Linked DNA regions of Nothobranchius furzeri. Each later gene encodes a partner of the first gene's protein in a complex. Links are inferred from orthologs where the notes say so. Each region holds a gene or a part of one and is shown on either strand. Other genes may lie near its edges. The genes, in order: dpm2, phosphatidylinositol N-acetylglucosaminyltransferase subunit Y and dpm1.

Evidence for each region.
Region 2: dpm2 (region 1) and phosphatidylinositol N-acetylglucosaminyltransferase subunit Y share a complex: the UniProt entries of both Homo sapiens proteins name them as parts of the glycosylphosphatidylinositol-N-acetylglucosaminyltransferase (GPI-GnT) complex. The link is inferred for Nothobranchius furzeri from reciprocal best matches to the Homo sapiens genes DPM2 and PIGY.
Region 3: dpm2 (region 1) and dpm1 share a complex: the UniProt entries of both Homo sapiens proteins name them as parts of the dolichol-phosphate mannose (DPM) synthase complex. The link is inferred for Nothobranchius furzeri from reciprocal best matches to the Homo sapiens genes DPM2 and DPM1.

What each region holds. Positions count from the first base shown.
Region 1 is NC_091746.1:70,779,889-70,782,280, reverse strand, and holds the end of dpm2 (dolichol phosphate-mannose biosynthesis regulatory protein), read left to right. Parts: intron 1-696; coding exon 697-786; intron 787-913; coding exon 914-1,016; intron 1,017-1,136; coding exon 1,137-1,192; 3' UTR 1,193-1,752; downstream 1,753-2,392. UniProt on the Homo sapiens protein: Regulates the biosynthesis of dolichol phosphate-mannose. Regulatory subunit of the dolichol-phosphate mannose (DPM) synthase complex; essential for the ER localization and stable expression of DPM1.
Region 2 is NC_091744.1:85,184,356-85,186,687, reverse strand, and holds phosphatidylinositol N-acetylglucosaminyltransferase subunit Y, read left to right. Parts: upstream 1-1,270; coding exon 1,271-1,483; 3' UTR 1,484-1,779; downstream 1,780-2,332. Other genes in the region: pyurf (protein preY, mitochondrial), read left to right, coding at 1,037-1,178; triadin, read right to left, coding at 2,019-2,153. UniProt on the Homo sapiens protein: Part of the glycosylphosphatidylinositol-N-acetylglucosaminyltransferase (GPI-GnT) complex that catalyzes the transfer of N-acetylglucosamine from UDP-N-acetylglucosamine to phosphatidylinositol and participates in the first step of GPI biosynthesis.
Region 3 is NC_091755.1:48,132,835-48,136,600, reverse strand, and holds the start of dpm1 (dolichol-phosphate mannosyltransferase subunit 1), read left to right. Parts: upstream 1-1,237; 5' UTR 1,238-1,355; coding exon 1,356-1,486; intron 1,487-2,204; coding exon 2,205-2,304; intron 2,305-2,470; coding exon 2,471-2,504; intron 2,505-2,578; coding exon 2,579-2,655; intron 2,656-2,826; coding exon 2,827-2,852; intron 2,853-2,997; coding exon 2,998-3,093; intron 3,094-3,182; coding exon 3,183-3,251; intron 3,252-3,340; coding exon 3,341-3,455; intron 3,456-3,567; coding exon 3,568-3,672; 3' UTR 3,673-3,766. UniProt on the Homo sapiens protein: Transfers mannose from GDP-mannose to dolichol monophosphate to form dolichol phosphate mannose (Dol-P-Man) which is the mannosyl donor in pathways leading to N-glycosylation, glycosyl phosphatidylinositol membrane anchoring, and O-mannosylation of proteins; catalytic subunit of the dolichol-phosphate mannose (DPM) synthase complex.

The DNA.
Region 1 (2,392 bases):
GTATCGGCCCTTCAAACTAGAATCGGTGCAGCCCTTATTTGTTTTATTTGTTTGGGGTTATGGTTTACCAAAATAAATGTCATATCTGTGATTTATTGTATTTACAACAACGGAAGTGACACATCAGAGCTTTCTGGTTAATTTGTTTACATTTTCATAACAAACAAAATCAAGAATCAGCAGATTTGAACTAAAGTCTTGTGTTCAAAGTTTGAATGGAGTTTTTAAATGAACGGCATCAGAAACATGATTAAATAAGACATTAGGCCAAACCAAGAAATGCACCAGTCCTTCAGTAGTTTATTTTGGGTGATTACACTTTTTTTCTATTTAAAATATATTTATTATATATTAATAGATAATATATTTATAGATATAAACTACATAAATAAATGATATAAAATTAAAAAATAAAATAATACTTAAAAGAATAAACTTTGAGTCATTCCCAGAACCACCGTACCGATGCCGGATCCTGCAGCTTTTTATAAGACTGTATTTAATTCACACACACACACACACACACACACACACACACACACACACACACACACACACACACACACACACACACACACACACACACACACACACACACACACGCGCGCACACAAACACCTCACTGTTTATCTCTGATTCTTCCTGTTGATGATCAGGAAGCTGGATCTTGATCCCAGGCTGCATTTGTGCTTCCAGGCGTCGGGAGCAGATCAGGCGGTCGGGATGAGTCTCGTTGTTTTCAGCCTCCTGTTGTTCTCCTACTACACTGTTTGGGTCATCGTTCTGGTGGGTTCTGTTGGGTGTTTGCAGCTAACATTTCTCTAAATGAAACATCTTCCATGTCCTCATCTTGAGTTCTGTATCTGATCATGTGACTTGAGCTTCATTAGGTCACCTTTGTGTTACTTTCCAGCCTTTTGTAGACTCGGATCACCCCCTGCACAGATGTTTCCTTCCTCGGGAATATTCTGTGATCCTACCAGGTGTTGCTGCAGTAATCTTTGTCCTCTTTGTTGGTCAGTATCTTCACTCATAAACTTCTTCATTAAAACATTCTGTTTATTTTCTGTCGCATGAATATGGGATGTTGATGTTTTCCGTGGATGAGAGGAGATGACTCTGTGCTTCCTCTGCAGGAGCCTTCACTACCTTCATCATGTGGAAGGACCACAAACCAAAGAAAGTGGCCTAAGGAGGATTGAACCCCTTAAAGGTTATTCCTGCTGGCGGCGACACCAGAACCACCAGCTCATACTTTTGTTCTGCACAATAGACTTTTTCCTGCAGTTATAAACAACATGTTCTTCTGCAAAGAAGAGAAATGTCCCTTTGATGCCCTTCCGCTTCAGACGTCATTTATAGCGCGTTGGCGCCACCTAGTGGCCCAGCTCGTACTACACGATGGAGAAAACGTTCTGCAGATTCAGACTTGGTTCTATTCAGGTCTCAGAGGACTTCACTAGAACCAGACCGGTTCTATAAGATCACACCTGCTGCAGCAGAGAACCAGAGGTCACATGTCTAGATGATGTCAACATTCACCTGATTTAACCAGATTTTATTTGAATGTTTAGAAAGAGTAAATGTTTAAATGGAGCCTGTTTGAATCCGTTTCACATCCAGATGTGTTCACTCAAAGCAGACCGACTGACATCTGAGTGCTGAAATCCAGCTGTTCTGGTGTTTTACTGCAGCTGGAGTTCCCGGATGATCGTTTTTCTAAAATAAAACTAAAATGTTTTCTGCTTTGGATCTGCGCTCGTTTCTAACTCACAGACATGATGATGATAGAAAAGAGTTCAGAACCCGGAACCAGGATCTCCTCCAGGCCTGGGCCTGATCTGGACCTGCACCAGGCTCAGCCTCAGCTTGACCAATCAGTGCCTGTGTGGGGGGGTGGGGGGTGTAGAAGCTTCCGGAGCCTCCAGCTGGACCAAACTGTTGTCAGCTATTCATCGTTCTGCACCATCACTGCATGACGTTGCAGAACCGGTTCCTGCAAGTGGTTCGGTCCGTTTCGGTGGTTCGGTCCGTGCGTGTCACCGGGTGGGACCCGGTCCGTGGTGCGACCAGGCTCCGCGCGGACATGTGAGTCAGAGACCCGAACCCACCGAGCCGGCTCCGAGCTGCGGTCCGTTCTGAGGTGAGTTCTGGTGATGATGATGATGATGAAGATCTGCGGCTCGCCTCTTTGATCTGGAGTAAACTTTATTTAGTTTCAACAGAATCAGGTTTATTACCAGAACATCCATCAGAGGCTCAGGAGTTCACTAGAATGGATGGGTTGCTGGTTCGAACCCAGGCGCCGTTATATCAGCCGTTGTGTCCTTGGGCAGGACCTGTACCTCCCTGCTGTGGTGGTCAGGGGGGCCGGAGTGAGTGAGCCAGAAGG
Region 2 (2,332 bases), on another chromosome or scaffold:
CCCGGTCAGCGACACTGCAGCTTTTAGCACATTTCGCAAGATCTGATCATTATTTTTAGGATTTAAATAAAAAATGAAGTGATTTCTTTCAAAAGCTGCCAGGTTAATTGATTTTAATACCCAAAACCATTCCTAAATGGTGTTGCTAACTAAGCCAGACCATTGAGACACAGCAGTTTTTAACACCTTTCATACTAACTGATCTTTTTTATTAGGATTTTTATCAAAAATTAAGGGATTTCTTTCACTGGCTTAGTAACATCATTGGGAAATTGTTTTGGGCGTTTACATCAATTAAACAAGGATGTACTATGTTTGAATACATCCTACTTAAGAATTAGTCAAAGCTGCATTAGAGGCAGTGTAAAGGTGAAATCTACCCCCCCCCCCCCCCCACACACACACACACACACACACACACACACACACCGTCGTTGTCTTCCTCCGCTTATCCGGGTCGCGGGGGCAGCAAGAACCTACCCAGCGAGAGCTGAAGGTCAGAGCTGGATGAAGCTAGGAGGACCACATCATCCGCAAAAAGCAGAGACGAGATTCTCCTGCCTCCAAACTCGACACACTCCACACCACGACTGGCTCCGGCCACCTTGCGACCACAGCTAGCAACAGCCGCCTTAACAATCGCAGAGTGGAACAAGGCCCACTCGGAGTCAATGTCCCCCACTGGTCTCGGGACGCGGTCAAAGCTCTGCCGGAGGTGGGAGTTGAAGACCGTCTTGACAGGTTCTTCTGCCAGGCGTTCCCAGCAGACCCTCACTATGCGTTTGGGTCTGCCAGGTCTACGCGACATCTTCCCCTGCCATCTGATCTAACTCCCCACCAGGTGGTGATCAGTTGACAGCTCCGCTCCTCTCTTCACTCTGGTGTCCAAAACACACGGCCGCAGGTCGGATGATACGACTTCAAAGTCTATCATCGACCTGCGACCTAGGCATTCATTATTAGAAATGACTGAACCAACGCATAAAACAGTCTAATCTGTTTTCCAGATAACTGATGTTCTTTTTCTTTCCTCTAGGTATGATGCCAATACCAACGAGCTGATCAATGAGGAGCTTGGCATCGCCTATCCCATCATCGACGGCATCCCCAACATGATCCCCCAGGAGGCCAGACTCCTTCAGAAGGACACAGACGCTTCTAATCCACCTGCACAGTAACAGAAAGTCTATCAAAGACCTTCATTTGCCAGAAAACCGATTGAGCACTGCTATTTTTTTAAAGAAAAAAACTGTAAAGCTAATCTGCTAGAATGCTCTCCTTGTCCGTGATGGTGGGACTGGTCCCCATCGTGTCACTCATTGGCTTGTTCTACTCTGCAGCCGTGGATGAGAACTTCCCTCAAGGCTGCACCAGCGGCAACAGTCTGTGCTTCTACAGCCTGCTGCTGCCGGTCACCATCCCCGTCTACGTCTTCTTCCATCTCTGGAGCTGGATGGGGATCAAGCTCTTCAGACACAACTAGGATGCTCTCTGAAAACAACCCACGGCATGTTTTCTGATGCACTTTTACCTCCTTTACCAACTTCAGTAACATTATTTTCTTTATTTCATGTCTGTTAAAGTCTGCTAGACTTGGGTTTTACTTGTCTGGAAGTTTAGGCTTGCAGGTAGGACTCATAGTAACCGAGTCCGTGTAAACGCTAACTGCTACTGAACAAACTCCTGTTATAAAATGGATAAATGTAACCGATTTAACAACTGAACTTCTTGGATTTTTCCAGTTCTTGCAGAAAAGAATAAACAACTTTATTGGAATAAGTTACTTTTATTTGATAAAAACATTTTCACACAGAACAGCTATTTAATGTCTGTTTTATGAAATGTGAACGTACTTCAGGGAGGAACAATCCAGCAAACATGCCTGTACTTCAAACACAAACTATCATCTTTTCATGCAAAACAAAACAAGTTTTAAAAAAGCTCGAACTTTTAAGCCTTTGACCCAAAATGCTCCGAAACAAACAAGAACAGCTTTCATCGTACGTTCACGTCCTTCCTTAGTGACACTTTTTGCTTTTAGGGTTTCTGCCCTGAGAAAATTTGGTCAGCGGAGACTCCGGCCGAGGCGACTGCCATTCTCCTTTTGTCTTGAAGAAGAAGGGTTTGTTTAGTCTCAGCTGGACCGCTCCGACCTGGGGGGGGGGGGAGGCTCTCTGTTAAACAGTGACACTTGTAAAAAGAACCACAGTCTGATAAAAGCATGAGAGGTTTGTGATACGTAGCATATGATTCAGGGCTGTCCAACTCGGACCCTTTAGATCTACCTATTGGGCCATTCCCATCTGTACCGGGTCGGCCCGGGCCGGGTAGC
Region 3 (3,766 bases), on another chromosome or scaffold:
CCCTGGAGAAAACAAGCAGGCAGCAGTGACACCATGAGACACTGGTGGTCCTTTAGAGCAGAACTAAACAGAGATTACATCTGCAAAAGTGACCACTGGAGACCTTCATCATCTTGAACTAACCCTTGGATGATGCCGAAACTTTACCTTAAAAACTGTTCAACCATAAGGGGAATCTTGGTTTGTGTACTTTTTGTTTTAAAACTCCAAAGACAGGATTTTAAGTCCAGAAATGTTTTTGTATTAAGTACAGCTTTTGGTATTGATCAAAACAAAAATGCTGTTCCCAGAGGGATCAGTAAAGTACCTTATTGTTTAACAATCTAGCACTGAAATCGTGTATGTATACTTTGTTATGTTTATGCACTGTATTAAGGAAAAAGTCAAGCCTTTTGTGTCTTTTATGAATTTTATTTGCATTTTAACCTAAACTGCCTCAAAGATAAAGAATAAGTGTATTCCATGGTGTAAAATGTTCTTTTTATTCCATGGTATAAATGATACTGTGAGAATTTTGTTTTGTATAGTTTATATTTATTATTTGGCATATCCATTTTATTGTTATATACTATCTACTATGTATTCCAAGTAGTTATTTCTGTTTACAATTTTGTGGTTTCTTGGTGTTGGCATATGTGTTGAGAGTAAAAATGTCACGTTATCTCCAATGTTTTTGTGTATTTTTAAATAAAATGTTTATGAATTCGTTGTGTGTTAGTCTTTTGGAACATCACTATATTTATTGTGTTGTTTACATTTTTCTGTGTATTTCTTATGGTTTATTTATTTATTTAAAGACGTTTTCAAGGTAAGTGACCGCGCTGAAAACTGTTGTCGGAACCATGATGGAGGAATTGGTTTCTAGGTGTGTTTATTTTGGAAAGTACAACAGGAAGTTCAAATAAGCCAAGGCGATGTTCAAGACTAATTTCAGCGTAAACGTTCGCATTTTATGACAAACGTAATCCCGAAGAATACTGTCCTTCCACATACCCAGAAAGTGTTCAAGTACATGAGTGAAAAACACTTTTTCATTGATCTATAATAATTTATTTGTACAGCCCAAGTATTCCTCTGGTTAACTAGTTACTTGATTTAGACATTATTAAAATATATATATTATATAAATATTGAAATGTAGTATTACCACTGAGCCAAGTACAGTTGCTTACTTTTTGCAAAACTAGAATGACAATGTAAGTTGTGTGTGTGTGGGTGGTGGTGGTGGTGGGGGGGTCTTCCGACAGGACGAAATTCAAACTGACCTTTATTTTGAAATACGACAACAGGAAATTGTACAGCACTTCTTTTAACTTCTCAACTAGCTTATAGTATTTTGAGCTTTCGCGTCTGCTATGGCTAGTCGAAAATCTTCGCAACCAAAGCGAGAGAGCCGGGACAAATACTCTGTATTATTACCCACGTACAACGAAAGAGAAAACCTGCCTCTGATAGTGTGGCTTTTGTTGAAATATTTCGGAGAAGGGTGAGTTTTTTTAAGCGTGCAAAGATGCGTGGCTAATGATAACTCTTGTTAGCGTCTGCTAGCGATGAGTTGTCACTTGTGTCATCGACGCTGATTTGGTAGTAGAGACACATTAAATCTGGATTATACTGTTAATTTAGTAGTTGCCTTCTAAGACGCATTTTAAATTTTGTTCTGAGTTTTTATTCGTTTTATAATGCTGCAGAAACCGACGATTTCCAGTATTTTTTCTTTCATTATAAATGTAGGTGAAAACTAAGACCTGGATTTACTTATCCTGAAATAAATATAAAGAATAATTGTACACACACACACACACACATATATATATATATATATATATATATATATATATATATATATATATATATATATATACATGCATGCATGCATGTATATATATATGCATATATGCATATATATATATATATGTATATGTATGTGTATATATATTACATATATATGTATGTGTATATATATGTATATGTGTGTGTAACAGTTAATTGCGTCTTTAAAAGGTAACTTGAACGGATTCATCTCTTGTGATTACATTCCTAAAACGTTTGTGAAATAATATTTAATGTTTTTAATAAATGAATTAATAAATTGATAAATGAAAAATAATTTTTGTCATTTTAAGTGAAATAGTTTTTTATATGTCTAAAGATTGATTTACAGTAATCTCTGTCGGCATGATAGTAATGCTTATTTCTCACAGTGGATATGACTATGAGATTATTATCATTGATGACGGAAGCCCAGATGGGACACTGGAGGTTGCAGAGCAGTTGCAGAAAATTTACGGAAAGGACAAAATAGTAAGTTAAGACTGATCTCTCAGCATGAACAAGATAAATTCACATTAAAGTTGCACCACATATACTGTGTAAAATAATTAAAAAGTAATTTGTTTGTTTTTTTTATCACAAAACTTTACAGTGATAATCAACAGTCATTAATTGTTAAATCCTTCTAATTTTTCAGGTTCTGCGACCAAGGGAGAAAAAATTAGGCCTTGGTAAGTTGGTAAAATTATTGCATTTCCTTTATAAACATTACCAGTGGATGTAATCATCCCTTCATGTTTTAAAGGCACAGCCTACATCCATGGCATGAAGCATGCCACTGGGAACTTCATCATCATCATGGATGCAGATCTTTCCCATCACGTGAGTCGATGCACGAGTGTATTTGATGTATAAAATATCTTAGAAACAAGACATCTTTTGAGTATCTTGTCTGGAAAAACACAAATGGCTAGTAAAGTCCAATTGAGTATTTATTTATTTATTTATTTTGTTGCACTGCTGTGTATTTTATTCGTCTTTATTTTATTTCAGCCCAAGTTTATTCCTGAATTTATTGAGTAAGTATAATTGTTTTTTATGTTATGAGTTGGTGCGTTTATAAAGACTCGCAACATTTCTGATTATCAGGGTAACTTTCATCCATGTGTGACGAGTCGGATTATTCTAGCATGTTTTAGGTAAAGTATCGTATTTCATTCACAGAAAGCAGAAGGAAGGTGGTTATGACCTTGTGTCTGGTACTCGCTATCAGGGCAATGGAGGTGTCTACGGCTGGGACCTGCGCAGGAAACTCATCAGGTAACGGCCAGTGAGCAGAACTTGGTCACCAGTGTCCGCTCTCCTACGCTCGATGAAAACGAGATTTGTTTTTCTCTCCTGTGTCTTAGTCGAGGTGCTAACTTTTTGACTCAGGTTTTGTTGAGACCCGGCGCTTCGGACCTCACGGGCAGCTTCAGGTAACTGATGCAAGAGGTTTGAATCGTCATTGACTAGAAAACTGAACCGTTTCCTCACTTTTGTGCTTTTTTCCCTACGCTTTTGGAAGGTTATACAAGAAAAATGTGCTGGAGAGTCTGGTGGAGCGGTGTGTGTCTAAAGGTTACGTGTTCCAGATGGAGATGATCGTCCGAGCCAGACAGCTCAACTACACAATTGGAGAGGTGTTGACCTACCACGCTGTTGGGTTCTTTGAATATTTGTACTTTGTATGAGTTCTTCTCAACGTTTCCGCTGAAATTAAACTAAGGTTTATTTTCTCCTCGTCGTTCGCAGGTTCCTATTTCCTTTGTGGATCGGGTTTATGGAGAGTCAAAACTGGGAGGGAATGAGATCGTGTCATTTGTGAGAGGACTGCTCACACTCTTCGCCACGACGTGATCAGCGATGTTCAGAGCTTCTGGGAGCTTTTTTTTTTCCTCGTTCCACAAGTTTGTCTTTAAAACAGAAGTTTCACCAAATTAAAAACAAGAGA